4 linked regions of the Alligator mississippiensis genome follow. The protein of the gene in region 1 interacts with the protein of each later gene in a pairwise test. Links are inferred from orthologs where the notes say so. Each region holds a gene or a part of one and is shown on either strand. Other genes may lie near its edges. The genes, in order: NEFL, SKIL, TEX11 and USP2.

Region 1 (7,586 bases):
TCCTCAAGGAATCTATGCTGATGTACATGAGCTAGACCATTAGATTTTGTACCTAGTTTCTGCATTTGCGAATGTTATCTACTTCATTTCCATCACTTTACATTATAGATATATTGGATTCTTTGTGATTTGAGATGAATCAGTTGTTGATATTGTAGTTCGTGGGCTGGGGGGGTGGGGGAAGGAAAAATTAACTTCATGATATTTCACTTTACTGATATTTTACCACATTCTACACTGCTTACCGAGGCAAACTCTTGATGAACTTCACCCAGGAGTTTTACTTAAGTGCCACAAGAACTGGCACATAGACAGAAGAGATCTGTGGAGATTTATGTATTCTTTTAACAGACGCTCCCTTAATTTGTAATCCTTTATTCTCTTTACCCAGTTTGTGTCTTCAGGCATTATTTTATTAAATCCAATCCTTTTAAGTAATTAATATAACCTAAGAAACATTAGATCTAACATCACCTTTTCAGCTTTTATTAGTTATAATATGATATTAATTAATAATAAAACCCAATGCATTTTTTTCATATTAATATACCTATAGCCTCCTGTTCATCAAGACAACTAGAGAACATGTCTTAACAGATGCAATAATATTTAACTCTATGTAATTAGTCCTGTATTAAACATGCTTTTTCCCTCAAGGGCAGCTCATTTAATTTTATTCAGGTTCTTAGGACTGCTAAAAATCATTGTCATTAATGGTGCCATCTTAATTGCTAAGCTTTCCAGCAGGTGAAGCTGCATGGGGCAGGCTCCCTAATGCAATGACTCCCTAATGACTCCCTTCAGTATGGCTGCACACACAAGCTGCAGGGACACTTTGCCTTTGCAGAGCAGGACTGTCTGCACTGCCATTTGGGTGCAGGCTTTCAACACCGCCAGGCTTTCAACACTTCTTTTTCTTTTATATTCAGGTCCCCACTTTTCCTTTCAATTTCCCCATTCACATTTTAAACCTGTTGCTTTTGAAGTGGAGGACACAGAGGTCATTAGCCACTCCCTGCCTTTGTGCAGAGGCTTCACGGACAGCTCTGCCTGGGGCAAGAGGGTGGTGGGGTGGCTGTCTAAAAAGCCCCTGATCTCAGAACCTGGGATCTCTTGAGCATCTACTGACAATATTTCACAGAAGTTGGCTGCAGTGGTTCCCCTGCTTCTCCTGTGGCAGGTTAGGATGCTAGGTCTATGTTGTGTCAGGGCTGACTGTTATTTGGCTAAGAGGTTAGATTGTGTATAGGATGAGCTGGACAGATATGATCCTGGCTCAGGCAGGGGGTTGGACAAAATGAACTCTGAACAGCCCTTGCAGCCCCACATCTCTCTGACTGCAGACTCAGCTACAGGTGCAAGATAACAACCAGCTCTAAAATTAGTACACATTTTCCAGGTCTAACCTCAGAGCTGGTGGGAGCTTTTTATGGTGCGAGATGAGTACTTTGCCTGGTGTAGCTGGTCTCAAGGTAACCATCTGGTCTTAACACAATACCTGTAATGTAGAGGGGGCCTAGGAAGATACGGGGAGAGGTTTCCTGCCAGGGCCAGCTCAGAAGGCTGGATGTAACTGCTCCTGTCCAGACTTGAGAGAAAAGTGCCTTGTTACCCTTCCACTTGTGCTATTCCCCACCTCTGAAGGGAAAGAGAGAGCAGCCTGCCCATGCAACCTGGCCAGCCTGACACAGAGCAGCGCGCACGTGTGCAGCTGGAGATCTCAGTGGCTGGCTCAGGCAGGACTGCGGACTGAGGGAGCTGGACTGAGCTTGAGGGGCAGCTGCTTGAGCGCGCCAATCCTGCTCACGCAAGCACAGCCGCAGCCAAGGGGAACCCCCGTGGTGGGTGCAAACGGGGTGGCAGATGGGGGCAGATGGGGTCGCAGGGGCCATGCTGAGGAAAAGTTTGGGGAGTACTGAGGAGGGCAAACTGGGTGACTGCCAGAGGGCCCCAATTTTTTTTTTGGGGGGGGGGGTGAAGTTTTTGCAAGGAAGTGGCTCTAAGGAGTCCCCAACAACCCTCCGGGGGCGGCGGGGCGGCTGGGGAGAGGGAAGGCGCCCCTCACGCACCTGCAGGGCGGAGATGTCGGCGTTCTGCTTGTCCTCCAGCTCCTGCAGCTGCTTCTCCAGCGCCTCGTTCATGCCGCGCGTGGCCTCGATCTCCAGCGTCTTGGCCTTGAGCAGGCGGCGGCTCTCGGACACCTCGTCCTTGGCGGCGCGCACGGCGTCCGTGTTCTTGGCGGCGCTCTCGCTGAGCACGGTGAAGCGGCTGCGGAACCACTCCTCCGCGTTCTGCATGTTGCGGGCCGCCAGCTTCTCGTACTGCGCGCGGATGTCGCGCAGCGCCGCCGACAGGTCGGGCTTGGCCGCCACGTCCATCTCCACCGAGAGGTGCGCGTACTGGATCTGCGCCTGCAGCTCGGCCAGCTCCTCCTCGTGCACCTTCTTGAGGAAGGCCAGCTCGTCCAGCAGGCTGTCGATGCGCTTCTCCAGCTCGGCCCGCGCCAGCGCCGCCTCGTCCGCGCTCTTGCGCACCTCCAGCAGCCGGCCCTCCGCGTCCTCGCGGCTCAGCACCTCCTCCTCGTAGCGCGCCTGCAGCCCGCGCAGCGTGTCCTCCAGCCCGTCGCGCTCGCCCTGCAGCGCCTGCTTCTCGCTCGTCGCCTCCTCGGCGGCCAGGCGCAGGTCGCGGATCTCCTGCTCGTACAGCGCGCGGAAGCGCGAGGGCTCGGCATGCTTCTGCCGCAGCACCAGCAGCTCCGCCTCCAGCACCTTGTTCTGCTGCTCCAGCTCGTGCACCCGCTCGATGAAGCTAGCGAAGCGGTCGTTGAGGTCCTGCAGCTGCGCCTTCTCCTGGCTGCGGATGGACTTGAGGTCGTTGCTGATGGCCGCCACCTGGCTCAGGTCCAGGCTCTCCACCGCCGAGGCGGACGAGGCGGCGTAGCTGCGCCGCACGGACACGGACACGGAGGACGCGGGCGCCGAGAGGCTGGAGTAGCTGGAGCGCACCGCGCCATAGCCGCCGCCGCCCGTGCTGCGCCCGCCGGACAGGTGCAGGCGCGGGCTCTCGGCGTAGCGCCGCTTGTAGGACGGGAAGAAGGTCTCGTAGCCGAAGGAGCTCATGCTGGAGGAGGCGCGCGGCAGCTCTGCGGCGAGCCTCGGCCCGCCCGCCCCTATTTATCCCCCGCCGCGCCGCCTTCCACGCAGCCGCCGACACCTGCCAGCAGCCGGGGGGGCGAGCGAGCGAGGGCGCCGCCTGCTCCCGGAGCCCCTGCGCCTCTCCGCCTCCTCCCCTGCCTGCTCCCGGAGCCCCTGCGCCTCCCCGCAACCTCCCCGCCTCCTCCCCTGCCTGCTCCCGGAGCCCCTGCGCCTCCCCGCCTCCTCCCGGATCCCCAGTGCCTCCCCGCCTCCTCCCGGATCCCCAGCAGCTCCCCACCTCCTCCCGGAGCCCCAGCGCCTCCCCGCCTGCCCCTGTGCGCCCCCCACTCGCAGCCAAGCCCGCCTGTCTGAGCCCCGGCGCTTCCAGAGGAGCCTGGGGGAGGCAGGGCCCCGTCCCCTGCAGGCTTCAGGCGCCCTCTTGAAAGCCCCTGACTGGGTGCGACTGCCAGGCTGATTGCTCACCTTGCATTCCTCACTTCACTAAGCACACTACACTTCAACTCTGGCTTGACATGCCAGGTTTTTGCCCCTGTAGTCATCGGCAGGCATCGGTCTCAGGAGGCCATGGGGAGTGCGCCTTGGGTGCATTGAGGGGTGCTGCAGAGTGACTGAGTTGTCCGACGTGCGACCCTCTGGCAAATTGCACAGTACAAGTTGCACTGGCATGCTGCTTACCATTTTGTCTTCCCTGCCTTGCATGCCTCTCCTCTAGCTTGTCACAGACCCTCTCCATCTCAAAGCAACGTAGGCCCCGCTTCATAGATTCAGAGATTGTATGGCCAGAAGAGACCTTGTAAGATCATCGGGTCCAGCCCCCTGCACCTAGCAGGAAAGATAACTGGGGGTCAGGTGACCCCAGCAAGGTGACTGTCCAGTCTCCTCTTGAAGATTTCCAGGGTAGGTGATTGCACCACCTCTGGAGGGAGCTTATTCCACAGTCTGGACACCCTAACTGTGAAGAAGTTTTTTCCTAATGTTGAGCCTGAATCGATCTTCTAGGAGTTTGTGACCATTACTCCTAGTTTTCCCTCAGGTGCCCTGGTGAACAGTTGCTTACCGAGCCCTTGATGTACCCACAGCAGCTTTCCACTCACACAGGTACAAAGCAATTGATTCCCATCATTGGCCATCGATGCACAGCTTGCAAAGGTTTTTCTTGCAGGCAAAAAAAAGGGGTTGTTAAAACCTTTTCTGAGCCAGCCACTTACAGGGATTCAAAATATACACATGGGTTGGGTGGGTGTTGCTTGTCACAGGCGAACACACAAACACACATCTTCCAATCTATCTCTATCCCTATGATGTTATACAGGGCAACATTCACTAGGAGTCAACCTGTTTGAGACTCAGATCAGTGGTAAATGAATCTGGCAATTCAGACTTGTACCATCAAGCTGCAAGGAGCACAGCAAAGAGCAGCGGGAGGAAAAGGGGAAAGGACCATGGACAGTTCCTTTGCAATGACACACACCGCTTCCCAAATGTTTGGAAGATTTGCTATTGGGCAAGTGCAGCCAAGCAGTAGTTATGTTCTAGTCACTTTTTACTAAGCAACTGAGTTTCATATGTATGATATCTGATTGGGTCAGAAGATGTTACTTACTACCAAAAGAAGCTGTTCAGGAGAGTTTAGTCTGAGTAAGGACTACAAAAAAAGACTAGATTTTGGGGCACATTTATTAATGGCTGAAATTGCAAATGCTCAAATGCTTCACAAAGAAAGAGAAAAGAACTGTCCATGTTGGTCTAACACTTACAACATCTCTCTCTCTCTCTCTCTCTCTCTCTCTCTCTCTGTCTATCTAGTGCCAGTCACAGTAGTACTTAAGTAGTGGCTACACAAACGACTGACACAAAATTCTTGCTTCATGTAGGTTTTGTTCCAATAAGAATGACATGCAACTGTTTTTATTAGATCTCCAGATGCTTAGTGTGGTCACACAAAAAGGAAATTGCCTAATTCACACTGTTGCTTGCATAGGATTCAAGGTATTTGAACATGAAAGGGAAGGGAATCACACACACACACACACACACACACACACACACATATATATATATATATATATATATATATATATATATATATATATATATATAATTGGGGTTTTTTTTTACTTTAATCCATTTTTGGTGCAGTGCATTCCTATGCAGAGGGTTAGTATCTCCTTCAAAAGTGCTGAAGTGCTAATTAACTGAAGTGATCTCACTGAATTCAGTAAAAGTAATCTGAATTTACATTCAGTATAAACATGGAGACATTTTTTAAAATTTAAAATTCACATCTTAAAAATAAATATCCACTCCATTCAGTCATCAAACCCAATCTGGGGATGGGCAATAGCTACAAATTATTCATATGCTGTATAATGAAATTCCACTGTCGGCCATGATGCAAGGTCAGTGAAAAGTCTGCGACTGCAGCTACTTTGCATACAGTGGGCTGTCAGCATTTTTTTTACTATTGTGGTGAAATATGTTACTGATACCAGAGAAACAGAATGAAAATGGCTCCTGTGCAGTGAACAAAAGACAAGTTGCTCTTCTGGTGTCAGTCTGCATAGCTCCATTGGCTTTAGGGGAGCTATACCAGCTCACACAAGCTGAGAATGACATTTCATGAACCCTCAACATTTTAGTTTTAATTAAGAGTGTTTTGTCCTTTCTACCAGGAAAGGACTGAAAACTTCAGAATTAACTCATGCAATAGGCATGCAGTGTGAATAACAATATAATCTAGGTTGCAGGTTGCTTGCTAATTCTGAAATATATGCAGTGGAGACGGATGCACTTCATCAAATATTGATGTGATTCCTATGTATGTGGCTTTTGTAGTCTGCAAAGCACTTTGGGAGAAGAGCGGCTATATAGGCATGTTTTAAATTCCATTAAAGCTAACTGAAAGGTTCCTGCTGACTGCAGTAGCCTGTCAATCAGGCCCTTAAAATACAAGTTATTTCAGACCAGACCCTCAACTAATATAAATTTGCAGAGATCCATTGCTTTTCCTGGCTCTGCACTCATTGACACACAATCCAACTCAGATCCTGGAGTTTATGATTAACCATCATTTTTATTATTCTATGAATTATTTTAAAAATGACCTGTTTCAAACTAAGAAATAATAGGTGCTGTAACAGTAACAATCTCTAGCTTCTGTGCATGGTGTTACAAATCTGGAACTCTATACATTCTTTCTGATATTTTCATGGAAATGGTCAAAGGAGTGGAAATTCCTTTTCCACATAAAACTGGTGTCAGGGAGACAGATGACAGTGTAACATGTGCTGAAGCTTTTGGGGGCAGACAGTAATGTTGGACTTCTTTGCAGGTCAGTGGCGAGAATGGGGAATTGTTAGCTGGGAAGAAAATAGGGCAAATAAAAGCTATTATTCAAGGCAGGTGCCCTGAAAAGCCATAACTATTTCCCTTAATAAGACAGTACTCATCTAGATTTTTGCACCTAACTTTTACTTTATACTAGTTTTCTTTTTTCCCTATGATAGGGAATACATATATAAATGTGCATGGGCATTGGTGTTTTGCTGTAGACCCAAAATATTGGTGTTTTGTTGGTAGTAAACAGAGGAAGAAAGAAAAATTGGTTTCCAATTATTATGCAATTGCTCATTCCACCTCTCTTGAAAGGCTGTGTGCATTTTCCAGATGCTCTTGAAAGAAATAAGAATACAGTCAATAAAGATGTGATGTGTCACCTAGCAGTTTAGTATTAGTTCCATTTCTATCTGCTGAAGCAAAAAGCTGAGGCTGATCTCTTGATATTGTAAATAACCATGGGTTTCTCAGATCCATCCAACACAGAGAAAGAATCCAGAGAAAGAATTGAAGGGCCTGATTCATCCCTATGCCCCTGGAGCTGACATCCCCACCCCTCCCCATTATTCAGGCAATTACCCATTTGAACTAGAGGGGCCATCTCTATGTCTGAGAGGGTACATTAACCTCCCTGTCTCACTCAGTTTGTCACCTCACTGATGAATTGCTTGCAAGAAAACTGAATAGAGTGTACTGTGGTAAATTTGTGAATCTGGTGAACAGATGATCAGATGTTAACATCTTTCAGACACTATTGGTCATGTCTGGATTCAAAATCGCAACATAACCCCCAGCTGTGCCAGACCCTGGCACTTACATCTTTGAAGTCAGTGGGCCTCAGTCAAGTTCCAAGTCGTGCTTGCAAGGATGTAGATGTAGCACTGACACTTTACAAGAGAAGGATCTGATATGCCTACTTCGATTCGCCCAGCCCTCCACTGCACTTTTACATTTTTCCTGCATTTTCTGTAACCCGAGGATGATTTTGTCATTATTAAAATGATTATTCTCTACTGACTCTGTAACCTCCTCTTTCTGTGACCTTTCACTTGCTTTTCAATTGATATTCACTTCTATTTCTTGCAGAAGAAAGGA
Region 2 (7,353 bases), about 52 Mb from region 1:
TCCCTGAAGCCTCCAAAGCATGGCTGCAAACACTCCTCCCCACTTAATGCAATAGCTGTATGCAAAAGTGAACAGGAAAATTCTTCCAAACAACAAAAAGAACCCCAAGAGGAATGGAAACATTCCAAAAACTCAAAGTTTAAGCTCTTCTCAGAAAAATTATTAATAATCTACAAACACAACTACCACAGCAATGCCTCAAATCAGTAACACATTAGTTACCCTCTATTTTCCAAATCCTTCCTCATAACCTCTTTTTCAAGCATTTCTCATTCTTCTTTTATAAACAGTTAACATTTATCTTATATTTATTTGTCTTATTTAGATTATGATATCACTGTAGTAGAACTAACTTCACGCTTGTGAAATACTGTGTAGACTTACAGTGTTACTGAAATAGGCAGTCTCTCTCATTGGTGTGTCAAGGTGCATTGCACAGTAATATGAGAAAGGCCTTAAAAGCAATTCAAGTAATATCTTATACATTACATGTTTAACATAAAAAAAAGATATTACCACGTTCTAAAAGCAGCCTTTGGCCTCTCACCAGCATCAATGCACTATCACCTTAAAAATCATGACACGCTATTGGGTGCTTAGCAAGATAACTGGCTGTATACCATGTGTACATATACGCACAGGAATTTAAGTCCGTGTCTGTCAGTTTAAGCTAGCACTTGATTTTTCAGGCAGCTTCCTGCTTATTGCAACATGCTTGGTATAAAACAATCACACAATGTGTAGGTCAAACAGGAGGACAGACTGTCCATGAAACCTCTACATTTTCCAGATATTGCCAGTTTAAAAAAGCAAAAGAAACAGAATGAAATGCAAAAACCTAGAACTCTTGGTTCAGAAATGATACCTTTTATTATCCTAGTTGGTCTAATAAAAGGTATCATTTCTGAACCAGGAGTTCTAAAGCTTTTGCATTTCTTTTAGTCTCAGACCAACATGACTATCAAAAACATCCAAAGAAACAGAACTACGTTCTGAAAGTTTTTGACCAGTTTATGACAAAAGCTCCAATTAGAAAAGAATTCTTAATACTAAGCCTTTTACATTGAAATTGTTGAGACTGTATTATGTATGCTGCAGATCATTCACACACCTAGCTTATACTTGATCTGACACTGGCTCGTATTTAGGAAAATGAACAGCATGCTTCAAAAGTATTCATCTGTTAACAGCAAGTAATCCAAAAGTTTTATCAGATTAAACTGGACTTACTTTGGACTGAGTTCTTTTCTGATTTTTCACGCTAAATTTCTCCTTCATTTCCTCCAAGAGATGCTTCAGCTCCCTCTCTTCTGATGTTCCTAAATATTTTTGGTTAATGTGAAGATAGTAATGCCATTTGGCTGATTCAAAACCCCAGTGGCAGGTCCTTTTATCAGGAGATCTATGTGAATGCATCACAAATGTCTGTGGAGAAAACATTCCATAACACTCCAAACACTGGATACAGGCAGCATCTGGCTGAAGATAGAACTGAGGTGCAAACAAACCCTGGCACTTGCCCAAGCATTCATGCTCTACTTCAAAGGCACTGCCAGTTTCTTTAAGTTGAGCCAACGTGTTTTTAGCAGGAAGCAGACTGCCATTTTGAGGAAAAGTGCGAGGACGTAGTAAAGCATTGCATAATCTTTGCGCATCAGTCAGCGTGATCAACCCGCAGGATGGGGCATTAAATGGAAGGATCCCCAATACCTTTAGGATATGAAGCTGATCAGAAGTGCATCTTGAACAGTATATGTACAATTCATCACAAACTGCATTAATTTGTTGGAGGGAAAAGTCTCGGAGCACAGAATTCAAGACTTGAGGTAGGCAGAGTCTCTTTTCTCCACCAACTTTAAAACAGGAAATAGATTCCCCCTCCAGCGTAGTCTGAGTGAGCTCCGTGGAACTATCTGAAGGGACGAGCAAGGGGCCAGGAAGTATCTGCGGCGATGGAAGAGGCAAGAAAACGGTGGGAGACATGCTTTCCTCAGAATAGCGAGCGGAAAAAGCGGCTGGTCCACCCAGCGAACTCTGGCTACTTAAGTGGAACTGTGCCAAGGTGTGTTTCAAACCAGGGTTTAAACTCAGGCGCTCAGATACAGCAGCGCTGTCTGACTTGACATTTTCTCTATCCACCTCCATGGGAGTTTCATCATATTCATCCAAGTTTTCCTTCTTGATGGTGGGCATCTTACTCACCCCAGTTGGGAACTCAGTATTTCCATGCATTTCTGTCATTGCTTTCTTTACCGGAGGGCTCCCATCCTCCCGCATCCTATTCACTTTCTGGTCGGAGCCAGGGCGCAGGGGGAAGTTTGCCTGCGGGCCTTCCATCGCCGACCGCCACGCGTTTACAGAAAGAAACCGTGAGGGCGCATCTCTCTAGCTTCTCTGTCAAACAAATGTCAGTTGTGGCTTATCTGAACTCCCTCAGACACGCAATCAATGCCACGCCAGGCCAGGCCAGGCCAGGACAGCGCTATGCCGGGGCCTCCGGGAGGGCAGCCGAGTGGGAAGGGACGGTGTTACAAAGCCCTGCTGGGCTCTTAGGCAGCGCAGACAGCAGGGCACGTTTCCTGCCCGCAGACCGCTGGCTTCTCCATCAGGCACCAACTCATCTGGGAGGCGGGGGGAAAAATAAGGAGAAAGGGAAAAGTCGGTCTCCCAGCAGGCTGCCAAGACCCGGCCCTGCTGCCCCCTCAGCCTGGCGGCCCGTTTGCCCCCATCCTCCCCGAGGGGGGGAGGGAGGGCCGGAACCTCCACAGGCCGCGGGACACCCCCTCCCCTCCCCCCGGGACACCCGCCCCGCCCCCACCCGCAGAACGCGCCCCTCCCCCCGCGCCGCCGCCCGGCCCCTCCCCCACGCCACCACATCCCCTCCCCCACGCGGGCGGGCGCCCACGACCCCCGGGCCCTACCTCTCCGTTGTGCGGGCTCGGCTCCGCTGCCTCCGGAGCCGCGCGGGGGCCTCCCTCCCTCCCTCGGCAGTGTCGCTCTCGCTCGCCCGCGCGCGCCGCCGCCTCCCCGTGACCTCACTGCGGAGACGCAGACAGCGGCGGCGGCGCGCGGCCACGAACCCGCCGGGTGCGCGCTCCCGCCCCGCCCCCCGTCTGCGGCGCCCCTCCCCCCACGGGCCCCCGCCCCCCTCAGGACAGGACGGGACGTGCCCACGCCCACGCGCGGCGTGGCCTGGCCTGGCCTGGCCCGGCTCGGCCCCGCCTCGCCTCACCTCGCCTCACCCGGCCCGGTCGGGCCAGCGCGGGGATTCCCTGTGGCGGCGGCCGGGCGCAGACGGGGCGGAGCCGGCAGTGACTCAGCCGGGCGCCGGGAGCCCTTCCGCGGGGGCCGCTGCCCCAGGGAAACCCCGGGCCCGGCGCCGCGGGGGCTTCCGGCCTCCTGCACGCGGCCCAGCTGCTCGGCCGGGGCCGGAGGAGCCCGGGGAGCTCAGAGCAGTGACCGTGCAGTTGCCATTTCCCCGCTCTGCCGTGCCCGGGCTCCCACGTGTTTAAAGCCCTGCGGCAGAGAGAAGGGAGCCGGTTGTGTGGGCCCCCCCCGGGTCCCTCTTCCCCTGGTCGGGTGCAGGGAGCCCTGCCCCTCGCTCGGTGTCCGGTCCCCGGTGAATCCGTGGCTGCCCCCACGCCCGGCTCCACCAGGGCCTGCTCTGACGAAAAGAAACGTCCCTGGCTTGGTTGAAACCCGTGTCTATCGCCCTTGGGGGGGGGTCACCACAGACTACGCCTAAGGGGGCTGTGAAAGGCGAGGGTGATCAATCAAAAGTGTGCAAATACCCACGCTTGCCATTCAGGGGGGCCATGCTGCTGCTCAAAATATTTTGAGGGGCCCACAAATGAAAGAAGGTTGAAAACGGCCATTTTCAACGTCTTGGGGATTCATTTTATTGTGTGTCCCCTCTTTCTCCTACTGCGAGAGACTGTAAATTGACTTCACTGTTTAGTATTTCGTAAATTCTGATCACGGCCTGTAGTTTCTAAAGTGAAAAGGCCTGGTCTCTTTAGTCTCCCTCCTACGGTAGCCCCTCCATGCTGCTAATCATCCTCGTTGCCCTTCTTTGGACCTTGTCGAGTCCTTCTATATCCTTTTTAAGAACTGGGCACAGTATTCAAGGTGTGGACGCACCATAGATTTATAAATGGGCATGCTCATATGTTTTGTTTTGTTTGTGATTCCCTTCTTAATGAGCCCTAACATTTTGTTTGCCTTTTTGAGGGCTGCTGAGCTCAGCTGATGTTTTTAGCAACCTGTCCACAATGATTCCCAGATCTCTTTCCTGTGTGGTAGAAGCTAATGTCAAGCCCATCACTGTATAAGTATAGTTAGGGTTATTTTTACCCAGGTACATCATTTTACACTTAATTATACTGAATTTCACCTGCTATTTGGTTGCTCATTCACTCAGCCATGGCAGATCCTTCTGTAGTTCCACATACTCCACTTTGGCCTTTATCTTGAGTCTACAAAGGTTGAGAACCTGGGTCTAAACATACCAAACAGGCACGGGGCAGGGAAGGAGTATGAGAGAGAAAAAATGAGCCATGTGATGGTAGCAAGAATCAGGATCCTTTCATTTATTTCTGGGATGTCTTTACTTACAGGGAGGCTTTACTTAGTCGGGTAGAAACTAAGGGCAGGGGAAAGGAGAAGAGCAGAATTGGAGTGAAGGTGAAGGGAGAACTGGAGCAAACATAATCAGCACAGGGCAGAGAACATCCTTTCTAAACCCCCTGCGATTCTCTGCCTCTTCAAGGTCCAGCAGACAATGTGGTGGGAAATTGTGAGGGTGCCTGTAACAGGGTATTCCTGCTCCTGTCACTAGAAAGGCCTGAGAGAATGAGGGACCCTGGGCCAAGAAGGACAGTAAGGAGCAACAACCCAGGTGGACTGGGCCCAGGACTGATAAGGCCAGGTGGCTCATGAAGGGATTAGCTGTACCTGGTGCAGAAGGCCCTGTCCAGTACCTGAAAAGAGACTGGGCTGGGGAGTATTAGTCCAGTCTGACAACATAAGGGAAGCTTCTGCCTGCAATAGGGAGAAGCTCTTTGGAGTGGGCAGCTATTAGAGGCTGGCCACCCAGGGGAAGTGGAGGAGTCTCTTGCAAGAGTTAGGGCCTACAGGCAACATTTATCCTGAGAAGGAAACTATTTGGGTTATGAAGCAGCTGTCTCATGTTTTTGTTGTTTGTACTGCAGGACTGAGTTGTGGCTACAGGGAGTGGAGGAGGCCATGAACAGGGATGCCTGGGTGGCATTCCCCTGCTACTTGCCCTAAGAGCTGGCCCTGAGCTAAACAAGTGGAGGCTGGTGCTGAGATTTTCAACTGCCAAGGTAGGGCTCCCTAGGAGGGCTGATAACTGGCAGTTGAGATCTTAAATGGTAGACCAAGGCTGGGCATGTAGCCAGAGAAAAAGGGGACCATGATTATGACAGCAGAGGGTCTGACAAGTCCTCAGAAGCCTTGGAAATGCTCCCTTAAAAGGGAACCTTGTCTGCCCTTAAAAGGGAAACACTTGAAGGGGAGTACAGGCTCAATGGGGCAACTAGCAGTTACCCCTGATACCAGGGACTGCCTCTCTCAGCTACAACCAAGTAGCATCAAAGGTGTGGCAGGAGAAAAACCAGAGGTGAAGTGGGGCTGGGAGTAGAGGAAAGTCTGGTGTTGGGGTACCAGTACCCAGAAGGGTGTTATAATGCCCCAAAACTCATTTCACTAATTTACCTTGCAGTTTTCAGGCTGTACCTACCAATGGAAGGAAGTTCAAAAAGTGAACAAAAATTAATCACGAAGGGGAAGAAGGAGCAAAATATGGTTAGTTAGTTGTTTTATTCAGTCAATGTACTATAGCTCATTTAATTAGGGTGGTACAATACTTTGTTTTTCTCAGCTGCAGGACAGAAGATGTCTTGCCCCCACTCTATCAAGACCCTTCACAGTTTATACCCACTGTACCAATTCATTTTATTTCAGGCATTGTCACTCTTCCCCCACCCCCACTTTACTCATCCAATGGTGCTAGGATTTTGGCCCTGTCCCCTTTCTTTGTACTTTTGGCTATATTGTCTGTTATGGGCTGTCCACTAGGAGTGGACTGAGAAACAGGTAAAGAACTAAGCTATTGCAACTTTAAATTTGTTTCATTCAAGATTATAGCACTATAGAAGCAGGTAGTTTAAACTACAACAACTACATATTCAGGTGACACCTAGTCTGCCGCAGTAAGTCTACCTTCTTAAAATGGTTTAGTTAATATTCCATCTTAAGACTGTGGACAGATGTCAAAAGCAAATTAACTAAAGATAAGACATCAAGTGCATATGAATTAAAAGTGCTTTAAACCTCTCTATGAACTGACTGCCCAGAGGAGTTTTCCATCTATTGACCTCTCTGTGAAATCCTATGAAATATGAACTTTCATTTCTACCCAGGAGAACTTTAACAATCTTTTCTCCAATGCCTGACGAAGGGTGTTTGTACCCAAAAGCAGGCAATTAAAGATTTTTATTTTTTTTTGCAAAACATCTTGTTGGTCTAATAAAAGATATCATCTCTACTATGAGTCCTGATTATCTTTTCCTCAAGACTAATGCGGCTACAAAAATCTGGATACTTTAAACCTCTCTGTGTATACTCTTATTCAGAGACAAAGGGTCTACAGCAAATAAAGGTCAGTTTATTCTGGACTGCAGAGCTGTCCCCAGACAAAATAGATTTTTGCCTCCATATTTCCATAATTAACCATGCCAACTAATTGGAAGCTGATCATCACTAATCAGTGCTAGAAATGCTGCCATTTCCATGCTGCTGCCCTGGACAAGTGCCTGGTTTGTCCATAGGAGGTGCAGGGCAGACTCGAACAAGATTATCCACAAATTAGTTCAATGTTTTTTAACTTATACACGTTGACTGCACACTTTAATTGGTCTGTCTTAACTTTCTTCAGGCATTGCTTATTGACATAACACTCCTTGAATAAACCTATAAAGCTACTGCTTGATTCTTCTTAAATCCTTTCTTAAAGTTTTAATCTATCATGTTGCCTAGCCCTAGAGCACTGCAAGCTGATGATAATTAAGCAGGTGGTGAGCTGGGACTATTGCACAGGATAAGATTTATTTTTAGAATAATAACAAAAAAAACAAACAAACCTCCTCTTGGTATCTATAAATTCTACACACCGCTTGCCTATACAAAAATGTGTTCTTTCTGCTATCACCCTTTTGCTCTCATACACCCTCCACCCCCACCCAGTCTTGTTTTATTCTATCCAGTTTTTGTATCTGATCTTAAACTTAAATTGTTGCATCACTGGTATAGGCTATTTGCACAGCAGCTAAT
Region 3 (7,848 bases), on another chromosome or scaffold:
GCAACTTTATTTGTAAATCATCCTTAACTAGGATTTTGGAGGAGGGGAAAAACCAAGAACTAAATTTATAAGCTTTTACACAATTATCTCTTCTATTTTGATTAGGTATGAACTATAAGCAATCAAAAAGCCAAGACTCCAAAAGTATTAACTCATTTACAATGCATCTACAGTTTATCATTTAGGTGGACATTTAAAATTATGACTAGTAATCACTAATCAATGTGAAGCACGGGAAAGATTTTTACTAAGAAAACTTCAGTGTTTTTATATTGCGATTTTGGAGTGTTTGTATTTACAATTTTAACATCTTCATTATTCTTTTCTACATTTATTTTACTATTGTGCTTTTTTTAGTCTTTTTGCATTGTTAGATTCAAAAGTAAAAAGTCACAGCATCTCATTCATGTCAGTAGTGTTGACATTTAAATAAGGATATTTTGCCTCAGAATTCAAAAACATTAATACATATCATTTTGAAGGACAGGTGGAATCCCCCACTTGCCAGTTGCTAATGTTTACTATTCTAATATTTACATTTTTTTTTTTTTAGAAACACCTCTACTTTCTTCAAATGTGCTAATGGAGAAGTAGAAATGTTATAGTGTATGCTCTATAGTTATACAAAACATAAGTAAAACATGCAAAAATGTAAGTGCTTTTATAGATTCTCAGTACTATGACAACTCATTATCTGCACCAGCCAATGAGCATTCAAACTGCAGTAGATACTGCTTGCCTCCACCTTGGCTGTAAGAACAGACTGTTTTTAAATATCCAGCTTTGGGATCCAACAGTCCCTGGCCTTCTACCTCAGCCTCCTGAATCTCGTCCTCTGCCTTCTTATCCACATTTTCTATTTCAGAGAATAGTTTGTCAATGATCTCAGGAACGTTGGATGGGGCGTCTCTCTTCAGCAGCTCTTGAACAAGCTCTGAAAAATAAGGTGCATGAGGCAGAAACGGAGTGAGCACCATACAAATGTTATGAGTAGCACATCATCTCTGAACAAGTCTGTACAAGCAAAACCCATTGGTTTACATTTTCTTCATATTTTCCTGGCTAATAAAAAAGCACAAACAAGGAGACCAAGAGAAGCTGAACAAAGTAACTCCTGAGAAACAACTCTATTCTAAAGAAAATTTATTTTAGTTAAGGCATAAGGCTATATTCTGCTAAACTGCGGCAGTGAAATCTACATTTGTCAAAGGAACTAAACATAAGTAAAGAGTGCAGAATGTGGCACATCTTATCTGTGAATAAAATGTCTGCTTCCCCCAAGTCTTTTGTTCCCTCCTAAACAACTTTTATTCTTGGGCCCTCTGAAAGTATAATGTACACAACCTGTATTCAGGATCTTTGATACTGGTAAGCCAACGCCAGCGCTTCCTTTGAGGATCATAGAACAACCTGCCACCACCGATTCTAGAATCCTAAAACCCCCATGCATCTTTATAAAAAGAGAGAAAACTGCTAAATCTTTAAATCCCTGCCCTTGGCTTAAAAGGAAAAAGTCGGACTTGATCAGGTGCTCTCTTAACCACTCTCAGAATGTGGAAGGAATGAGGTTGCTTTAGTGGGTAAATCCCTTACAACGGCAGCTGGAAACTACTCCTCAGAGCAGTTTAGGGGACCAAATAAAACCATATAAAACCTTTTTGCCCTCCCTTGTCTCCAATTCCATAGTTTTTCACGTGCTAGCTTAAATATCTACCCCCAGTTGGGCAGCCAGTAGCAGCACTACACGGTACAGACATGAGAGCCCAGTACCTTGCTAACAAAAACCCTGACTCTGGTCCAGGAGCAAAACGAATCCCTCCCGCACCTCTGCCCCAGTCACTATAATGTTTGTTTTACTCAAGTCGACGGAAAGCTCCCTGTAATCTCTGGCAAGAGAGAATAGTTTTAACTTCCAAAGACATCAAAAACAATAACGTGAAAAGGCAAAACAAGTTTTGTCCAAGTCTCTTAACTGATGAACTCAGGAACACACAAGGCTCTGCAGCCACTGCGAGTTTCACAAGTTACCTTATTACATATTGTCCTAACAAAAATGAATCTGTCGACCACATTTCCTTTCCTGTAATCCTAGCACGCCAGAACTAATCACGCATTACTTTTAATTGTAAGTTACGTAACAGAGCGTGCCCTTTTCCTTGATCGGGAACAAGTTATCAAGTACCTATTTTAGACTCCAAAACTAAAACAAATACAGGTTGCTATTTCCTCTGCAGCCGTGCGCTCAGCTCAACCGGGTACAGGGCGAGACACGGCCTTCACGTCGAACGTTACGCACTGGTCGCTAAGCTTTTGGTTTAGGGCCAGAAGTATTTCACCCGGGGCGGGGCCCCGGCAGCCGGAGGCGTCCCGCTTCACGGCACATCTCCCCTGACGACTCAGCCTGTTCCTGGCGGCCCGGCTCCAAGGCAAAGCAGCTCGGCACCACTGAACAGCCAGACTGCCCGGCAGTCGCCGCTGCACCCCCGGACGTGCTGCGTGTCTGCCCAGGAGGCTGCCGGCTCTGTCAGAGCCTGCTCTCGGGACGCCACCGCGCCCGGCGCAGCACGCAGCCCCGACGCCAGGGAGGCAGACGCACGCCACTGTGACACTGGAAAACCCTGCCGGCCTCCCGTCTACACCAGACACAGCTTTTCGTATCGGCTGTAACGAGCGCCCCATTGCTCGTCTCCCGGGCGACTCTCCCGGGCGCTCGTCTCGAACTCGAGGCTGTCCTGCAGCACGGCGCTGCGGTGGCACCGGAGCGCCGTGGGAGCAGAGACGGCGCGGGAGGGTTTCTCGGGGGAGCTCTTGCTCTTCTCGGAGGCGGGAAGCCGGGCGGCGCTGCACTGCATTGCACTGGGAGACGGAGGCTGGCGAAGGGGGGTGAGGTGGAGAAGCGGGGTGCGCAGGGCCTGCAGTGAACCAGGCCGCCCCCAGCAAGCAGGGCCCCTCACCCCGCCACACCAGGCTGCAAACCCTCGGCGGGCAGGGGAGGGAGGCGCTACCTTGCAGGGCGGGGAGGCTGGGGGCGCCCGCCATGCCGCAGCGCCAGGCTGCTCGGGCCTGCCCCAAGCACGAGGCAGCGCCTGCGCCTCACACCCCGCTCCTCGCACCTCAGCGCCTGGGCGCGCGAGGTATGCCGGGACACGCGCCTGGCTTTCGCGCCTGGCGCGAAACTACAGCTCCCAGCGCCCCCCGCGGCCGCGCACGCGCACTTCCGGCGCGGCGGAGGCCAGCCCCACGCGGCGATTGGCTGGCGGGCAGGGCCCTCCTCCAATGGGGGCGCCGCCCCGCCTCTCCTTGCGGAGTGGCGGGCGCTGGGCCCAATGGGGTGGGCGCGCGGGCGAGCGGGGGAGGGGCGGTTCCGGCGGCGCTGCGCCGGGGCTAGAAGGGCGGGAGGAGCCGGCGCGTGCTGCGGCGCCATGTCGGGGCTGCTGGGCACCTCGCTGGGCGGCCTCAGCAGCGACTCCTACTGCGACATCAGCCAGTACCGCGACCAGCACTTCCGGGTGCGCCGGGGGACGTGGGGCAGGGCTGGGGAGGGGGTTGGGGTGCGGCGGGCTGTGGGGGAGGGGATGGGGGTAGCCGGCCCCCCCGCGCTGACGCCCGCTGTGCCCCCAGGGGAGCCGGTACCTGCAGGAGAAGTCGCTGAAGGCGTCGTCGACGCTGTACGTGGGGAACCTGTCCTTCTACACCACGGAGGAGCAGATCCAGGAGCTCTTCTCCAAGTGCGGCGACGTCAAGCGCATCGTCATGGGTCTGGACAAGATCAAGAAGACGCCGTGCGGCTTCTGCTTCGTGGAGTATCCTGCAGCCGCTGCCTGCGCGGCGCGGTGCCCTCTTCCAGGGGCTTCTTTGCTGCCCCTCGCCGGGTCTCAGCCCTTTCCGCGTGTGGGACGGGGCCAGGCCGGGTGGGACCGCTGCTCGTGCTGGCGCGCGTGGTGTCTGGCCGGCGGAGGGACCGTGCGGTCGGTGCGTTGCTCCGGGCGGGGGTGTCCCCCGCGCTGTGCCGGCCCGGTGGGCGGCTGTCGTGGCGGTGCCCATGCACGGCGCGCATCGCAGTGCGTGCGATCACCGACCGACCCGCGCAGTAGCATCTTCAGCGGCCGCGCACGGGCAGCTAAACGAGGCGTCTCCTACAAACGAGGCTCGAAGCGGGGCTGATGCAGCTTGAAGTCCTGCGTACAAATTCAGCACGCGCTGTCCCGGAAAGGGGCACGTGTAGCGCCCTGGGGGCAGCGCCCGGCCTCTCCCTGAAGCGAGGGACCCCTCGCTGTTGCTTTCGCTGTGCCAGAGCTGAGACGCACGAGCGCGGCCTCGCGCTGCGCTGGGAGGGGACTGGAGCCAGTTAGCGTTTGGGTCTTGAGTTGAAAGTCAGGGTTCCTCCATGCCATATAAAATTACTCTCTCTTTCTACCTCCCTACCCAGCAGAACAGCACCTTGTATTTTCCTTATAAGTTATTCCAGATATTACACAAGAGTGGAAGCTGAACATGCAATGAGATTTATTAATGGCACCCGTCTGGATGACCGCATTATCCGGACAGACTGGGACGCAGGGTTTAAGGAGGGCCGGCAGTACGGGAGAGGAAAGACGGGAGGACAGGTAAGCAACAGACCAACGTCAGTCTAGAACATGGCTCCCCGGGGCTCAGCTGGGTGCTGCTCACCGTGACTGAGCCAACACAAAGCAAGAGTAATGCAGCGTAGACCCAATAACTGAACTAAAGCCGGTCAAACTGGTTTAGTACCTGATGCTGGACTGGAGTAAGTGATTGACAGTTGCTGCTGCTGAAGAGCTGGGTTCCCGGCTCCTGAGGGCGCAAAGTGAATGTTGCTCTGCTGTCAATGAGATGCTGTCAGATTGATGGAGGAAACAAGCAGGGAGGAAGAAACGGTGCTCGGGAAAGACAAGTGCTAGTCTGGGATGGTTGACACAGATGACTCTACCTCAAGCAAGGGGCTTGCCCTAGATGTGACCCCCTGAAGGTCTTGCCAGCCCCGTGTTTTTGTTGTGTGGTTGCAAGGGCAGTCTTGTCAGACGGGATGCGCCAGTGGGAAGATGAGATTCATTCCCAGATTTCAGAGGGTTCAACCTTGACAATCCGTCAAGCCAGACTGCAAAGCCAAACTGAACAGTGTTTGGACTGTTTTGTATTGCTTTGACATTCAAAACAGCCCCACACTTGTCCTGTCCCTGTTGTGATGGGGTGTTATCAAGCGAGTTGAAAAACATGAACTTGCACCCTGGCTTTCAGCCCACCAACTGCTGGGGTGAGGTGGAGAGGAAGCTGGCTCCTAAAAGCGTTGTGACATGTAAGTAGGTGGAGGGTGTTAATGCCTCCTCTTGCTCTGCCCCCAGGTGCGAGATGAGTACCGGACGGATTATGACGTGGGGAGAGGTGGCTTTGGCAAGATCATCCAGATGCAAAAGGCGAATCAGCAGACTATGATCTACTAAGTGCCTCATTTGTCCTAGCACAGAGAAGGGCACTGGTCCTCCATAGATAGCCCTGTCCTTGCCCTTTGGACTGGGATGGGGAGCAAGGTCCAGGTTCCAGGACGAAGTGATCCTCCTTAGACTGGCTGTCTACATTTGCTCATTCCCCTTCCCTTTGGGATAGAGAGGCTGTTCCCTGCTAATGCAGGGCAGCAAGGGAACAGCGTGGCCAGCTCTGCAGGATTCTCTTTAAGGACAAGTGCAGCATGGCACCCAGACCCTGGCAGCAACTCACTCCTCTTGCTCTCTCTGGCACAGCTGGCTGCCTCCAAGCTGTTCTTCCAGCCACTGTTGTTTCCCTCAAGTTCAAGCTTTGAGAACTCATCAGCCATCAAAGCTGTCTCACCTGCCCAGGCACAGGCAGGAGTTTCAAGTCTACCGTTTACATTGTCTCCTGCTGTTTTAAAGCACTGTTGCTGGCTTGGGTTGGAGAAGCATAATCAGACTGTACTGGCCAGTGCAAGTGGTGCCTGCACTTCTATCCCTGGGCTCAGTCAGACCTGCAGAGTCCCTGTCCTCGCCGTGCCCTTGGCACTGCCTAGGTGGGGCACAGTCTCCCAGTTACTGTGTGGTTTTTGTTAAGTGTCTTTTGGGTTTTTTAAATAAACGTATAATCCTGTCTCTGCAGTCTGTGCTCTGGTGCTGTTTACCTGTGACGGGCCTGGGGGGCACATCCTGCATGCTAAGGGATGGATGCCTGCATTTGTCTGAGCTTCCCCTTGGTGTGGGTGTCACTTTTCTTCTCGTGTTTATTCCTGGTTGAAACAAGATGGAAATCAGCAAACTAGTGCTCCCGTGCTCCCATCCAGGTGAGTGTGGATAACTTACTACTGTGACTTAATTCACCATGGTTCCTTTACTTCCCACTGCTTGCCCATTCCCAGTTATCAACTGATAACGGGTCACTGCTGGGTAATTCACCATTATCTGCCTTCCCCTTGGCCTGGGGAACTAGCCAGAGGTCACTATTCTTAATGGCCCTGCCCTGCCTCCAAGCAGTGTCGGGTCCTCTGTGGTGCATACAGCTACATGAGGGCCCAGCCTGTGCTTTAAGGTCAGCCCAAGAACTTAGAAAAGTAAGCCCGGCACTCATCCCCAAGCCCCTTTGCAAGGCTGCCCAAATTCAACTTAGCTAATGGTAGGAGACTCCTGTAAGAACTGCTTCCCCCTCAAAGACAGCACAGCTGAGCGGACCTGTACCTGGGGTCTGGGGTGCTATATGCCCCTCCTGTGTTGCACCAAGCCAGAGCAGAACCCCGCAGCTGCGTACATCACGCCCTTGCTCAGAGCTGGCTTGGGATCATGCAAACACCAGCAACTTCTGCTCTGTGCAGTGCAGCCACAGCTCTGCAGAGCCCTCAAGTGCCAGAGGATCCTCTGTGGCTTGTTTGCTGTAGGCCGTGCTGAGCCTTTGGGAAAGGGTGGGATGTAACTGAACTCGTTTAAAGAAATCCCCCACTTACCTGGGAGCAGCTCTCTGTCTCAAGGGGGTCTCTGGGCTCCAATGGGAACCAAGCCTGCTTCTGGCTGCAGCTGGTACAGACCAGGCATTTGGACAAGGCTATGCTTATAGCTCAAGTCGCCACAAAGCCCTGACTCGAAGGGGTTTCACATTGAATTCTTAAGATGGCTCAGTCCACTTGTGGAGAAGCTCAGGCTGCTGCCTCCATCCAGCTCTTCCTGCCAGCGTGACCTGGGCTTTGTGCCCTGGTCAGATGCAACAGGTAAGAGGCAGGGAGCAAAGATGCAGACTCGAGGATGCTGCCCTCAGCACCAGGCCGTCCGGGGCCCAAACGCTGGCTGCAGGGCAGGGCAGGCAGGAATGCGCAGTAAGAACAAGTGTGTGGTTGTCTTGTGGGGAAGGGGACCGGTCTGTCCAGCCTGGTCAGGGCAGACTGCAGAGGAGTAAGTGCCTGGGAAGGTGCAGCTGGGTGAAGGCAAAAAATAGACTGGGCTGAGGGAGTGTCTGGGAGGAGGAGTGAATCAGCTGGGACAGAACTACGTAACACGCATTGTTCTTCCCACGTTGCTCCACTGTGCTGTGGGAGATCTCTTCTCCAAGCAGAGGCGGGGGCCAGCTCAGTGCCGGGGGAAGGACCTGCATCTCTCAGAAGAGCTCCCGGAGCCGGGCACACCTGTGTTGTCTGCCTGGTAGCTGGTGCTGGTACTTCTAGTGCTAGCCTGTAGTCATGCTAAGCTAGAGAAAAGCAGGATGAGAGAAAGGGGCCTCACAACCACTGGAGGATCCAAAGAGGAAGGAATAAAACAATAAACACTAATGAGGGAAAAGACACCCCAGCCAGCGCAGACGGAGCTGTCTCAGAGCCTGGCGCTGCCGGGGGATGTT
Region 4 (7,256 bases), on another chromosome or scaffold:
GCTTGGAAGGCCCGAAAGCCCTGCCCATCATGCAGCCACATGGAGAATGAGTTTGTACAGTCTCAGCCCAGGTGCCAGAGTGTGGAGCATGACCTCAGAAGTTCCCCTCCCCACAGCCTGACCGGCACGTGCAGCAGAGACCGGGAGCTGGACCCCCTCGTGCCCCACTGTGGTCAGAGGAAGACAACAGAGCGAAGGACTGGACCTGGGAGTGCAGGGGGGCAGAGAGAAGGAAGGGTGATGGGAAACCATGGGAAGACTAAGGATCAGGGCCACAGCGAGGCCCTGCCACCTGCTCCCAGCCACGCTACACCTGATCTGCCCAGGGACGCTGCTGCCCCATCAATAATTCAGCCCCGCAAGCGCGCTTCCGGCTGGAGCATGCTACTGTGATGCCCACGGGATGCCCTGTTGGAGCGGCTGAGCATGGGAATGCCCCCTCCCCTGCCGGCCTCGGGACCTTGGTATTCCAGAAGCAGAGGCCGGGGCTATTCAGGAGCTGCCAGCTCTGCTCCAGGCTGCTGCAAGAAAGGGCTGGGGGTGGGGGAAGACCTGACCCAATTCAAGAGCTCTGGGATGGGAGGGGGGAAGGGTGTTACTGGGCTAGACTGGGGGCCAACCAGAGGCAGCACAGGAGAGCAAAGACGCCAGGCCAAGACTCCTGGTGCCAGCCTCACCTCTGGGCACCTATGGGATGGATGTGGGGGGGGGGGAGATGCCCCTGGGGGGCATCACACCCATGGCTGGAAGTGCCCACTACAGGCAGTCAGTCAAGTTTGGACCCAGGGTGGGGTAAGTGCCATGCCCAAGGCCAGCCAATGAGTCAGTAGCAGAGCTAGCAACAGCACCGAGGAGTTTGGAGTCCTACTGGTGTCCGTAGCCCTGGGCAGTGCCCTGAAGGCAGAAGCACTACTGCATGCCAGAGGGGGTGCCCAGGGCACCCCCTTGGCCAGCTCCCCACCCCCTGCCCCCGCCGCAACAGAGCCTGGTGGGTCACAAGCACTGCTCTCAAGAGCACCCCCCCCCACTCCCACTTCCCAACAGACCCCAGGTGAGATGCAGGGGGGCGCACCTGGGCACCCGCTGGGCTGCAACTGGGAGGAAAGTTTGTTGCTGGTGCAGCTCCATGCGGAGGGGCAGCCGCTGGCATGGGGCAGGGTCAGGGCTCCCAGGCCTGGGCTCTGGCTGGTCCCCAAGGGACCTAGGGACATTACCTGGTGCCGGGGAAGCCCCTGGACAGTCCTGTGGGCCCGCCGCTCGCTTCCCCACACTTTCAGGACAGCGGCTCGCATGGCTCCGAGAGTCTCCGGTCACCAAGGCAACGACCCTGATTCAAAACCCTTCCCCGGCATGGCTGGGCGGGATTTCGGCACGCTTGGCCGGGTGCCAGGGCGGGGCTGGCACACACTCGCTGGCTGGAGCGGCTGTGCGGCGCGCTGCCTGCCGCTGGCACAGGGGCCACGGTCGAGGGCAGGCTGACCCACACCCGCCGTGCCTCACTGCTGGGGATCTCCAAGCATCTGCTACGCCACCCATCCCCGGAGCCTTGCTGACCCACATGCCACGGTGCCGGTGACACAGCCACAAGCCCCAGGGCAGTGAGGTCAGCAGCTGGGGACACATAGCAAGGCCCTGACGGAGCAGGCAGAGATGTGCAGGGGCCTCGGCTGCAGTATGCAGAGCCAGGGGGAGCTCCAGAGGTCCTGAGCCCCAACCCCCTGCAGCCACGCCGGCCGGGGAGCACCGGGTTTGGCCTCCGCCTGCTCTCCCAGGCAGCCCGAGTCCTGCCCCACAGTCCAAGGATGCCGGGTCCACCTGGGTCCGGCTCAGCCACCCAGAGTTGTCAGCACTAGCAGCACTAGCAGCCCAGGCCCCTGTCTGTGCCCTAATGATGCCCCCCAGCAGGGGCCGAGGCCCCCCAGGCGCAGGGGCTCGGGTCATGGGGGCCGTGCATGGCCCTCGGGCCCCATCGCGGTGCAGGAGCTTTGGATTTTCCACTGGCAGGCGGGCGGGTGAAAGCGATCCACGTGAAATCGGAAGCCGCTGGAGGGAGGTCACGGGTCCCGGGGAGGCTATGCTAACCACGCTCGTGCCTCGGCTGCTCAGGCCCAGGACAGCAGTGTCTCAGCCCCTGCCCACGCCCCAGGGATTTTCTGTCTGGGCCTCTGGGCTGCGCCAGCATCGGGCTGGGATCCCGTCCTCTCGAGGAAACAATCATCCCTGAGTGGGTCGGGAACGCTGAGCCGGCAAAGCCAGCCCGAGCACACAGACCTGTTTGGGGAGGAGGCCGCTGGGGTGAATAATCCACCTGGGGCGAGGCTGCTCCCTCCCTCCATCAGCAGGAGCTGATGCCCCAGCCCCGCTGCCCTTGGCATGGCAGGGGCTTGGTTTGTAGGCAAGTAGGAGCCGCGTTGAAGGGTGGCACGACCCAACGGGTACTGGGTGTATGGGGACTGCTCACGGGGCACAGGCCACGCAGCTCCCGGCCCCTTTCAGCAGCAGGTGAGCTCAGCACAGACACCCTCTGGGCTGCCCCGGAGCCTAGCCCAGAGCAGGCTCCCTGGTGCCAGGGCAGCTGCAGGGCCCAGTCCTGGCACAGACCAGCCCCAGTTCAGTGCCCACCCCATAGCCCCACTTCTCCGAGTCCCTCTTCCCCCCACACAGTGCCCGTCTTGCAACAGGGCCCCTTCTCTCATGAGCCACACGCAGGGCTGGACTCTCCCCCTGATGACCGTGTCCCCCCGCTGACGCAGAAAGCACCTCTCCTGACAGCCCCCCAGCCAGGACCGAGGCAGCCACCTCTGGGGTGAAACAAGCAGCTGTGGAAATTCATTTCCAAGAAACATAATATGAGCTCAAAGCTATGGGGGACGGGGGAGGTATCAGCCAGAACATGTTGCAAGACCACAGAGGCCAAGCCCCAGCGTCAGGCTACATCTGAGGACATCGATCATGTGCCAGTGCCCTGTCCCCAGGCACTCCTGTGCCTCTGCCCCGTGTCGGGAGGGCCCCTCACCGCTTACCATCTAAGATCGCCACTTTTGTGCCAGCTGCCTGCTCCGCGGAGCGTCCCGGGCTGTGTCACACCATCCTGGGCCCCAGGACTGCAAGAGACCAGACACCTGTCCTGAGACCTCGAGGTGGGAGGATCCCGACCAGCCCAGCTTCTCTCTGGAATAATTCTCGGTGCTTTTATAGCACCTGGGACTTCAAAGGCCGCAGCAGGCCCCAGTGACTCAGGCAGGCCTCCACCCTCCCTGGGAGGCTGCCGCTCTGTCATTAGTCCCATTGTGCAGATGGAGAAGCTGAGGCACAGACACATCCGGTCCACAGTCATGTGGCGAGGGAGAGGCGAGCCTGGGAATGGGACCCAGGAGTCTTGGCTCTCAGCCCTCACCACTAGACTGCCCCGTTCCCTCTTGAGTAGTCTGGAGCTGAAGCTTCAAGGCAGGAAAGTGTGCCAAGGCCTGGCAGCCCAGAGATGCCTTCTGTGAGACAGGCAGGGGCTTGGCTCCACCTCTGGGTGAGGAGAGAGGCCTGGTCCCCTCAGACAACCCCCAAGTGCTCCAGGAGGTTGCAGAGCTGGCCTGGAGGTGCTGGGCTGCACACGAGGGCGGTCACTGAGCCGGTTGGCTGGGCATGACGGAGGGGACCCTGTGCCTTCCCAAACCTGCTGGCAATAGTGCCTGGGCCACGGTGCCAGAGCTCTGTCCCCACCCCGGTAACCTTGCCGGGGGATGCTGCTCTGCTCCCTGCACCGACACTGTCCCCATGGACTTGGCTTACCCAGCCCCAGTGCTTGCTTGCGCGCTAGAGCCATCACGGCACAGGCATTTCTTGCTTACCCAGGTGCTAAAGCGGAGTCAAAGCCTCAGAGACACAATGTCCCAGCCTGGAGGTTACCCTAGATCTCAACAAGCCGTACCCAGCACCACGGGGCATCCGCTGCCTCCCGGGGCAGGGTCACCTCCGACCAGCGGACGGCTGCTGGGGGCTGGGATGAGAGGGGGCCCGGCGAAGCTCTTAGCAGGGTGGGACACCAAATTGAACCCCTCATGGACCCACTCCACCCAGGCCTCCAGGCTCGGGGAGAGGGAATGCCCCTCTCCGAGGGTCGCGAGGGGAAGGGCCTGTTTGCTGCCGGGCCGCGAGGTCTGTTATGCCAGGAATTCCTTGCAGCCCGTGGGGTTATCTGGGGGCTGGGAGCTGCCTGCACGTTTCCCTTGCACGAGAAGCTCCATGGCCCAGGGGACGCTGCCTATCAGCGGATCAGCCAGGCACCTTAACTCCTCCGGGGCTCAGTGCAAATCACCTGCTGGCCCTGCTGGCATGACTGGGGGGTGGGCACAGACTGCACGTGGTCTGTGTTGTGGGGCCAGATCCACAACTATCTTCTGGAGCTGGAGCCAGGAGACACAGGATGAGCTCCTGCCCTGGAGCCCCAGCTCTGCTCCCTGCGTGCAAGGTGCCCAAATCCCCATGGCTCCCCTCTTGGGTGGCAATGGGCCTTCTCCCACCCACACGTATCACAGAGCTGGCCAAGGCCCCAGCTTTCAAAGCCCTTCTCTGCTCTATTTAGCAGCACTTCCAGGGGCGGCTTTCCGGTCTGTCCCCTGGGTCCCAAGCCGAGACCTACCAACTCAGGTCACCTGCTGCCTAGCAGCAATCAGAGGGCACCAACCTCCGCTGCTGAAAGTCCAAGCTGGCTCTCAATGCCCGACGCAGCCAGCCCCCTGCCCAAGCTCTCCACAGCCCGGTCAAACCCACTGCGTGGCATGGACTGACACCCAATGGCCAAGGGGGACTTGGTGGGACTGGACGACAAGCAGGCCAGTTTTGTGCCCAGCGGGCTGTGTAGGCGAGTGGAGGATGCTTGGTTTTGGGTCGAACGACAAAGAACAAGCAAAGGATGGGTGCCAGGAGCTGCTGCCATGTCCTCCCCGGGCTGCTCAGCATCTTCCTTTCCAGGCAGCAGTGAACTTGGCTAAGTCTTCCCTGAACTTTCTCTGCCTCTCGGGGCCCCAGAATTAGTCCCGTAAGCCCCGAGCGGGCCCGTACGCACCTGCGTGTGGACGAGCAGGGCCGGAGGGTCACGGTTTGTCATGGGGCGACACCGGAGCAGCCGGGACGGGGTCACGTCGGGATCAGTGAGGTGCTGGCTCTGGCGCGCAAGCAGAAACCCGATGGCTACTAACCTGTTTGCGGGACAGGACGGGATGTCTGCGCAGACGGCTCTGCTGGGGACCAGGCTGGAATGGGCCGAGGGCTGAGCCGCTGCGTGAGCCGCTGAAGAAATTCTCAGCTCAGGTTACCGGCTAGATAAATATAGTGTCTTATCTGACCTCACTGGGCGCTGGAGCACGCCTCTGGCATGCCAGCCCGGGGAGCTTAAAGGGGCAGCACAGTGCACACCGGGCCCAATCCAGCGGGGCCCTGCACCCACAGAAAGAGGGCACTGCCACAGAGGGTGGGGGGCACGGGTAACCAGAGGCACCGGGGGCTGGAGGCAGGGGAGACCAAGGTTTGGAGGGCCTGGAGGGAGGTGTAAGGCAGCGAGGAGGGCTGGGGCGATGTTCTGGGGACAGGGCAATGGGACGGAGCCGGGACAGGCAGCAGGGCCTCTGGGCGCTGAAGCAGCCAGGCAACAGATGCAGGGTCTGAGTCACCGGATGGCAGGCTGCTCCGATCCTGATCCAGCACCTGCTGAGAGCAGGGGAAGGCCTGCCCCATCCCCCAGGCCACGGGGACCCGGTGCCCCTGGGACCTTCCTGCACCAGGGCGATGAGCATGGGACGGGACCCTACAAGGAGAGGCAGGGATTTGTCTGGGACACAGGGCAGGGCTGACTGGGATGGTGCAAACAGACAGGTTGGGGGGAGAGGTCACAGGGCACTTAGGCATCTGTCCCCTGCAGCAACCAGGTCCTCACAAGCGAGACAGGGCAGGCCCTTCTCAGCCGGCTTTGCCTGGTGGGTCTGTGGCAACGGGCCGGTCACCCCTGGGGCTCTGTGGGCTGGGGCATACCGGGGCCGTAGGAGGAGCCCCGTGCACAGACCCAGAGCAACATGGATCGGGCGGGACGCCACCCGCTGAGGGCTGGTCCCCAGGGCTGACGTGGGGCGCTGGCGGGCAGTGACTCAGTCTGCGCACACTGGGATAATTAGGCAGGATGCAATTAACCCGGCATTTCCCTCCCTTCTGCGTTACGGGCCAGGAATGGGGCAGGCGGCAATGGGAAAGCGCCCGGGACAGCCTCAGCCCTGGCCTCCACCCCCAGGAGGGTGACGCCAGGGGTCCAGCTGCTCCCCGCTCCGCCCTGCTGCAGGGAGGGGCCTGCAGCCTGGCATGACCCCTGCCCCTTGGGCATTGAGGTCACAACCTCCACGTGCAGCACGGCGTGGCACATGTGCCGCTGTGATGTGCCACAACCTCATGTGCACGTGCTGTGTGAGGGGCCATGTGCCCTCCTCTACCTGGCATGGGTTGGCTTGGCCCATGCACTCCCTGGCCCGCACAAAGCTGGGGGCAAACCCCAGTGGGCACCAGCCGGGGAGGGGGGGCGCAGTTCCCCCAGCCTGGGGGGCACTGCCATGGAGCAGGCAGGTGGGCATCGCCCCGCTCCCTAGGCCCGGAGGAGGCGGCTGCGATGCACTCACTTGGCTCCGGGCGCAGCAGCCAGCACCGGTGTCTAGGCGGAGCTGCCCGGGCCGCGATGTCACAATGGAGCCCGGTCCCCCCTCCCTGGCCTGGGCTGGGCTGGGCCAGGCCGGGCATCCCTGGGCACCCGCAAGGAAGACAGGGCAGGCTCGGGCATCCAGTGGGTTTATTCTGTGGCAGAGCAGGCACTGCCCCGCCGGGTCGAGCTGCAGCAAGCCGGGGACACAACGACAGCGGGCACGGATCACGGATCGGGGCCGGGCTGCGCCCCCCTCGCTGGCGCAGGGGGAGAGGGTGGGGGCCAAGGCTGCCCCGGTGCAGCCTCTCTTGCATCTTCTCGGGGGCCTCCCCTGGCCCCCATTGGCCTGGGGGCCCCAAAGCAGAGGGGAGGTGCAAAGGGGCTGCCAGCCCCAGGGAGCAGAAATTGCTGGGGGAGGAAGACTGGAGCCCTGACCTGGAGGAAGACTGGGCTGGAGCAAAACAGCTGGAAGCACGGAGGGAGGAGCGCTGGCATCGAGGGGTCCCACCCCCCCGGCCTCTGTCCTGAGGGAGACAGCAGCCAGCAGTGACGGGATGGCCAGAGATGCAGCTGCTGGACC

What was found.
Region 2: the proteins of NEFL (region 1) and SKIL interact in binary tests that used the Homo sapiens proteins (3 or more experiments, as listed by UniProt). The link is inferred for Alligator mississippiensis from reciprocal best matches to the Homo sapiens genes NEFL and SKIL.
Region 3: the proteins of NEFL (region 1) and TEX11 interact in a two-hybrid assay, tested with the Homo sapiens proteins (2 studies listed by BioGRID and IntAct). The two-hybrid records come from large-scale screens. The link is inferred for Alligator mississippiensis from reciprocal best matches to the Homo sapiens genes NEFL and TEX11.
Region 4: the proteins of NEFL (region 1) and USP2 interact in binary tests that used the Homo sapiens proteins (3 or more experiments, as listed by UniProt). The two-hybrid records come from large-scale screens. The link is inferred for Alligator mississippiensis from reciprocal best matches to the Homo sapiens genes NEFL and USP2.

What each region holds. Positions count from the first base shown.
Region 1 is NC_081830.1:22,883,638-22,891,223, forward strand, and holds the start of NEFL (neurofilament light polypeptide), read right to left. Parts: upstream 3,148-7,586; 5' UTR 3,120-3,147; coding exon 2,070-3,119; intron 1-2,069. UniProt on the Homo sapiens protein: Neurofilaments usually contain three intermediate filament proteins: NEFL, NEFM, and NEFH which are involved in the maintenance of neuronal caliber.
Region 2 is NC_081830.1:74,864,380-74,871,732, reverse strand, and holds the start of SKIL (ski-like protein), read right to left. Parts: upstream 3,070-7,353; 5' UTR 2,922-3,069; intron 2,622-2,921; 5' UTR 2,338-2,621; coding exon 1,231-2,337; intron 1-1,230. UniProt on the Homo sapiens protein: May have regulatory role in cell division or differentiation in response to extracellular signals.
Region 3 is NC_081831.1:83,090,360-83,098,207, forward strand, and holds the start of TEX11 (testis-expressed protein 11), read right to left. Parts: upstream 3,150-7,848; 5' UTR 3,040-3,149; coding exon 3,006-3,039; intron 935-3,005; coding exon 813-934; intron 1-812. Other genes in the region: nuclear cap-binding protein subunit 2, read left to right, coding at 3,423-3,509, 3,622-3,803, 4,469-4,607, 5,364-5,462. UniProt on the Homo sapiens protein: Regulator of crossing-over during meiosis. Involved in initiation and/or maintenance of chromosome synapsis and formation of crossovers.
Region 4 is NC_081839.1:31,067,362-31,074,617, reverse strand, and holds the start of USP2 (ubiquitin carboxyl-terminal hydrolase 2), read right to left. Parts: upstream 3,108-7,256; 5' UTR 3,024-3,107; intron 1,300-3,023; exon of another isoform or gene 1,215-1,299; intron 1-1,214. UniProt on the Homo sapiens protein: Hydrolase that deubiquitinates polyubiquitinated target proteins such as MDM2, MDM4 and CCND1. Isoform 1 and isoform 4 possess both ubiquitin-specific peptidase and isopeptidase activities.